Rattus norvegicus: one gene and its partner. Each later gene encodes a partner of the first gene's protein in a complex. Links are inferred from orthologs where the notes say so. Each region holds a gene or a part of one and is shown in the gene's direction. Other genes may lie near its edges.

Region 1 (4,226 bases):
CTACAACTTCCCTTGGGCTGGCTTCTTTCTGTGCGGTTAAAATCGTAGCCTAGAAGAGTGGAGGGTGTGTTGGCACTTGAGAACTGACTCTGGGAACGTGTCTTCCTAGGGTCTCATCTTCTACCACCTGTTTGGGGAATGTTTAGTAGCGTTAGCAAAACAATAACGCCCTTATTTATCTCGAAAGTTTAACTTCGCTGAGAAAGTTTAACTTGGCCCAGAGCTTGGGAAAAAAACACTAAGGGCCAGAATAGTTGGTAAACGCTAGCAAATGGCTGCCTTTGATGTGAAAAGCCAGGGTACATGTCTAGAGATTCAAAGTTTCTTCTCTGACCCTTGTTCCATGTTCCTACCCCCTCTTACCTCACATAGAGGCTGGATGGGGGAAGGGACGCTCCTGGCAAAGGAAAGTATTCTATAAACAGTAACCAAAAGGAGTTTCTGGGGCCCAGAGGTGGCTGGCACAGAGGTGAAAGGGAGTCCGTGGGAGGAACCAATGAGAGAAAGCAAGCCCGCGGGTGATAGCAAAGACTGAGCTGGACTGAAGGTGGGTGGGTCAGAGCTAGAAAAGGAAAGGATCAGGAGTAAAAGTGGGGTGGGCCAGGCGTGACCGTCCGGGGCTGGATTCCCGGGCCAGGCAATACGGAGTGACAGCTCAAACACACGGGTCTGGTGGAACACAAGGGTCTGCAAAGAAGGGTCTGGGCCAAGAAATCTGTCCAGCAGAAGCATGGTTTAGAGACCGGGCGGAAAGGACCCATTTCTAACGTCATGGTCCCTCGTCGCCACCCTCACTCGCCTGCAGGATCCGGGACCGCACTGCTGCTGCTGCCGCCACTGCCGCCGCCATGGCTCACCAGACTCTGCCCAGCTCCCCGCGCCTCCGCTGCCAGTGCCTCCCTAGAAGCTACAGCGCTAAGCTACGCCCCGAACACAACCTAGCCTCTCCATTGGAGGGAAGGGGCACTTTTCATAACCAATCATGTGTCAGGATTCTTGACTCCACCCATCACTCCCAGCCTTGGGGATAGGTGATTGGTCAAAGGCGGAAGCGTTTTCCTCTTCTCTGACTTCAGCCTATTTTTGTTGGCGGAGATAGGGAGACGCCCCCTAGACTTGGTACTGCATATTAAGCACACGGGGAAGACGCCCCCTAACCGAGAACTCCGATTGGCTATAGGTAGGCCCTCAAGGTCCCGCCCCTTTGCTAAGGAAAGTAAATAAAGTCCTTGAAGAATTTTGCCTGAGTTTCACCTTAACTACCACTCGCGGGTAGGGCTGCTGTCTAGGGTGGGACTAGGCAAATATTACCCTATGAGATAGGGAAACGAGACCGGGCTGTGAGTTAAGGATAGGTTACCCCTGTAAGGGGCGTGGCTTGCGGATCCTCGCTTTCCCGCCGACGGTTGGCCACGTCACGTGACATGGGCTGGAAGATGGCGTCTCCCACAGACGGTAAGAGCCGGCTTGGAAATTGTTGGCCTGTAGTCTCATTATTTGCTCCTCTGGGAACTTCCACAGCCTTCACGCTTACGCTTTTTTTCTTGGGCCCCTCTTCCTTCTCTCCCACTTCTCTTCTTTGGGCTGTGTCGGCTTTTCAGCTAGCAGGTGCCTGGTACCAGGTCTCCCCGCTGTGTACTAGGTAGGTGAAGGAGGCCACCAACCGGTGAGACCCTATCCGGGAAAAGGACAGAGGTCGCTCCGGCCCATCGGTGATGCTGAGGGGAAAGGGAGGGAACTTTCTTTTTGAACAGGCCCATTGGAGTGTTGGTTCTGTTCTCAGTAGAGCTGAGACGAGTCTCTCAAGCTCTATAGCTTTGAGTGGTGACTGACATGAGGTCTAGGGTTCATCCCTGTACCAAGCCGGGAGAGAAGGATGCTTGTCCCCTCAGTTCAGGACCGTTGCCTTGGCAGCAGGGAACCGGGGACCTGGTTTCCTTACCCTGATTCCCGAGGGAATGAAAATTAGCCTTGTTAATGTAGTTTCGCACGCTTCTCAACCCTTAAACCATCACTCCCTCTACTTCATGTGTTGTTTCCTTAGACTGAGGGCAGGAACAATTCTGCTTGTATTTCGTCTCAGGTGGTAAATAGGTGTTTTCGTTATACCCGTATGCTTTTGCTCGCGGTTCTGCTTTAGCATTTGGAATTCTCTTCTGTCATTACTCAGTATCTCAGTATATTCCTTGTCTATTAACTTTGCCCGGGCCACACCCAATTATAAATTCCAAGTCTGTCTTATTTCATACGTTTAATCCTAGGTTCTAGAATAATGCCTGTAAAGCATTTGGCCATAAATAAGTTAACGTTCATCCAAAAGTGAAACTGGCCTTGGTATGTGACCCCTAATTTTAGCTACTTGGTAGATTGAGGCAGGAGGATTGTTGCTTCAGGCTTGTCTAGGCTGCAGAATGAATTGTAGGCAAAATGTGTCTCAAATACAAAGTTGGGGTTTAGTTGGCAGTTGTTGGGTTTTGTTTTATTTTATTTTTTAACCCTAGACAAGGTTTCTCTGTGTAGTCCTGGCACTTGCTCTTTATACAAAGCTGGCCTCGAACTCAGAGCTCCTCCTATCTCTGCCTCCCAAATGCTAGAGTTAAAGGCACAAACCACCACCACCCACCTTCAAATAAAAAGTTTTCTTTTAAAAAGTAAGGGAAGAGTGGCTGGAGAGATGGCTCAGCGGTTAAGAGCACTGACTGCTCTTTCAGAGGTCCTGAGTTCAATTTCCAGTAACCACATGGTGGCTCCCAACCATCTGTAATGAAATCTGGTGCCCTCTTCTGGTGTGCGGGGGTACATGCAGGCAGAACAGTGTATAGGTAATAAATCTTTTTAAAAATGTGAGGATACAGGGGGCTGGAGAGATAGCTCTCAGTGGTTAAGAGTACCTGGTGCTTTTGCAAAAGACCTGGATTCTTTTTTTTTTTTTTAAGGTTTATTTATCTAATGTATATGAGTACTTTATACACCGTAGCTGTCCTCAGACACACCAGAAGAGGGCTCCCATTACAGATGGTTGTGAGCCACCATGTAGTTGCTGGGAATTGAACTCAGGACCTCTGGAAGAGCAGCCAGTGCTCTAAACCACTGAGCTATATCTCTCTAGCCCCAAGACCTGGATTCTATTCCCAGTATCTACATGGCAACTCACAACTGTGACTCTGACCTCCATGGACATCAGGTATGCATGTGCTCCACATATATACTGTGCAGACAAACAGTCATACACATAAATAAATCTAAAAATGAAAAATAAAAAGTAGGGATGTAGTTCAGTGGTAGAGAGCTTGCTTATCATGAACAAGGCAATAGGTTCAGTCTTTAGTACTAAAAAGCATGACTAGATTATATTAAAAATAATGTTACCAGATCTCCCTCCTTTCTTCCTTCTTTCCTTTTTTGAGATAGGGTCTGACTGTATGGCCCAGATTGGCTTCAGACTCACCATCTTCTTGCTTTCCTACCTGTGCTTCCAGTATGCTGGGATTAAAAGTGTACCACTCGGTAGGGCACTTGCCTAGCAAGCGCAAGGCCCTGGGTTCGGTCCCCAGCTCTGAAAAAAAGAAAAAAAAGAAAAAAAAATGTACCACTATGCCTGGCCTCTTACTTGATTTCGAAGTTTCAGGTTTAACTGCATTTTAAGTTTTGAACACATTCACATACCTTAAGGAACTGTGTTCATAATAAAAGAGATTCTCTAGCATGTGTGATTTTTTTTTTCCCCCTAAAACATCCTTTTCTTACTAGCAAAAAAAAAAGTGTTGGTAGGATTTTTGTCGGTTTTTTTTGTTTTGTTTTGTTTTGTTTTTTTTAAATTGAGGTTCATCTTGGTGTCTGTGGAGGTCTACTGAGAACAAGACTTCTAAAAGGTAGGGTCTGGAAGGATGTGGTGCAAGGCCAGTTTTGCTAGATGTGTGAGGTCTCTAGAATCAAAGAGAGCATATAGCTCTTCTTCAAATCCAGGGTGGTTTTATCTGAGATGATACTAAATTCGACTAAGGCAGGAGATGTGCTTATGTGTATAAAAAGTTCACACAGTGACTCCCAGAGGCAAAACTAAACAAGCAGAGTAATCTGGGGAGAAGTAAGTGGGGCCTGTAGAAATGGTGGCAGCCATTGTGTAAATGCCAGTGGATGCAGAATTTATGGAATGCTAGACCCTACACAAATCTAAACTAACGAAAAGTAAACAATTCAAAGAACTGAGGTTTGTGACATTGCAA
Region 2 (2,609 bases), on another chromosome or scaffold:
AAAGCCAGACCTGAGGGCTGGAGGACCCATAAGTGCCTTACGTGACTGCTCCTTCCAGAGAGGGCCCTGGCTTCTCACCTGGGTCCTTCCGTACTGTGAATGATGCAGCCTTTCTTCCAGCGTTGTGACTGGGCGTCCTGACATGAGCTTGGTTGTCTGTGGTGGGTGCAGTAGTGGTTAGGTGAGACTCTCGGTGCTCAGTGGACAGAGAATGGCATACAGCACACTTTATTTCATGGCTGGCTGAATCCATGTGGGAGGAAAGGCAGTAGACAGGACAGATCCCAAGGGTTCCTTTCAGGAGCGAGGGCCTCCCTCGGCCATGAAAATAGCACAGGGTGTCATTGAGTGAGGTGTGATTCACAGGCTGCTGGGTGGTGGGGGAGGCCCCAGACTCAGGGTGAGCTTCTTTCCTTACACTGTCTCTAGCCACAGGTGGCACTTGAACTCTCTCCTTGTTTCTTTACCTCTTTTTTCTAGACTGCTCTAAGGATAGACAGTGAGGCTGGGGAGATCCCCAGTGTCTGGCAGGGTAAAGTTCATCTGGGTCAGGATCTAGTGTGGCCAAGGGCTCCTGGTCTTCCCCTATCCCTGGAGCAAGAGCTGCTAGCTAGGCCTTGAAAGTTCCACTCTTAATTCACTGAGGCGCTGGCCATGGGGACCTGATGGCTGACGCTGACCGTCCGTTTTCTTCCTAACCCTCAGCTCCGGCGAAGCCCTATCAAGAAGGTTCGGAAGTCTCTGGCTCTTGACATTGTGGATGAGGATGGGAAGATGATGTCATCGACCTCGCCCAAGACTCTGTCCTTGGTAAGGGGCTGACAGCACCTGCTTCAGATCTTCAGGAACCTTCTGTCTTTGGAGCTGTCTGGTCATGGAGAGGACACTTTAGTTGGAGTGGGTTCTTGTTCTCCAGCTGGGCTCAGTGTTGGCACTAAGCCTGATTTCTTTCCTAGGTTTTATTTGGCAGTAGTTTTATTGATAGAATGCTATGGGCCCCCAGCACCACTCTTCTCACTAAGGGTCACCCATCTGTGCCCCCAAGCACAGCCTGCGGTTGAGGCATAACCCCAAGTGGCTACTGTCTGTCTGGTCTGTGGGCCAGCCTTGTTCTTCCAGGTACAGAGTCACTGCCGTTAAGAGTCCAGATGCTGTGGGGGACACTGGTCCCTTGCAGCTGATGGGAGGTGACCTGGCTTGACTGAACCGATGACGTGGCCGGACTGTGATATGGTTATGGGGAGGTTTTATGAGATAGAGAGCAGCCCTGAGAGGCATCTGGAGTCCAGAGCAGAGAAAGCAGACTGAGCATGGACAGCAGACTAGACATGGCCAGGGCCTCTAGCTCTGTGAGTGTGGGGAGAATGGCAGCTGAAGAGAACAGAGAAACCATGGTGAGGGTATCAGGGCTCTAAGGAGGAGAAGCTGCTAGGAGGGAGCTGGAGGAGTTTAGGGGAGGGGGAGATAAGGACTGGGTGGGCTTTGGAATGTGTGACAGGTACTTGAGATGCTGAGGGAGCCTGGAGGCCATCATAGACTGATAGGTACGGTGCCTATCTGTCCCTTCTGCCAGAGGGACGGAAAAAGACTCCTTTTGGTAGAGTGGAACCGGCTTCACAAGTTCCTAAGGAATGCCGGGCTCTTACCTAACTGCCAGGAATCCTTCTGTAGACCAGGTTGAGCTGTCTTGGAGTTTGGGGGATTGGAGTTTCTTTTGGACCTGGCACCAATAGAGAAGCTGTGAGGAGGGGGTGGGGAACATTATCAAAGGACATGAACTGCTAAAGAGATCTTACAAGTAAGGCTGTGTCCCGTGTCCTTCTAGAAAAGCTTTTGTCCCGGGAAGCCTCAGACATTTTTGGCTACCTCTACTCGAAGTTTTTTTTTTTAAAGCAGTACTGGGGGTTGAGCCCAGGGCCTCACCCTCTCACTCTGGGTGTGAGCTCTGCTGTGGAGATGGGTGTGGGAAGTAATTAGCCTGTGCCCCAGCCCCAAGTGGGACATTAGGAAGGGAGCACTGAGCAGAGCAGGGAGCGCCTTCTGGGTCCATGTCCTCCCCCACTTGATGCTTACGGGATTTCTAGACCAGGAAGCCTGATCCTCCGGCATAGGAGCTGGCATCGCTGGGCTCTGAAATGAACAGTTCAGATACTCCCTTAATCCTTTAAGCAAGAAGATTAAGGGAGCTCATCTAAACTTCCATGTCGGAAAGGGAACTGAGGCTTAGAGAGGTACATCCTGCTCCGGATGGCGGCAGCCCGGGGTGGTGTCAGGGTGTGTTGGTTTGTTGTGTTTTCCTCTCCTTGCAAAGATCTCCGACAAAGTGGTGACTATCTCGGTTTTGATTCCAGCCAACCAGTGTCCCATCCAGCTCCTCTGGCTTCATCTTGCCGGGTATCAAGGAGGATAACAGCCTGCTCAACCAGGGCTTCCTACAGGCCAAACCCGAGAAGGTGGTGGCCACCCAGAAGCCCCGGAGCCACATTCCAGCCCCTGCTCCTGTGAGTGCAGTAGATAGGTCCTTCTGCCCATCCTTTCACCCCCAGGGCCTGCTTTCTGCTGAGTTCCCGGCTGCTTGGCTGATTGACTTAAACAGTTACCATAGCGCA

The links.
Region 2: the proteins of Lin52 (region 1) and Mybl2 are in contact, whole or in part, in a crystal structure (PDB 6C48), measured with the Homo sapiens proteins. The link is inferred for Rattus norvegicus from reciprocal best matches to the Homo sapiens genes LIN52 and MYBL2. Residues at the interface, in NP_001019845.2 of Homo sapiens: Gln84, Ala87, Tyr88, Gly91, Leu92, Glu94, Ser95, Met98, Thr99, Lys102, Phe103, Leu107, Glu108, Lys109; in NP_002457.1 of Homo sapiens: Trp663, Val666, Ala667, Gly669, Thr671, Asp673, Gln674, Phe676, Lys680, Ala681, Gln683, Leu684.

What each region holds. Positions count from the first base shown.
Region 1 is NC_086024.1:109,828,832-109,833,057, forward strand, and holds the start of Lin52 (protein lin-52 homolog), read left to right. Parts: upstream 1-1,417; 5' UTR 1,418-1,424; coding exon of another isoform or gene 1,425-1,436; coding exon 1,437-1,455; intron 1,456-4,226. Other genes in the region: Aldh6a1 (methylmalonate-semialdehyde/malonate-semialdehyde dehydrogenase [acylating], mitochondrial precursor), read right to left, coding at 800-850.
Region 2 is NC_086021.1:172,148,677-172,151,285, forward strand, and holds part of Mybl2 (myb-related protein B), read left to right. Parts: intron 1-705; coding exon 706-810; intron 811-2,351; coding exon 2,352-2,501; intron 2,502-2,609. UniProt on the Homo sapiens protein: Transcription factor involved in the regulation of cell survival, proliferation, and differentiation. Transactivates the expression of the CLU gene.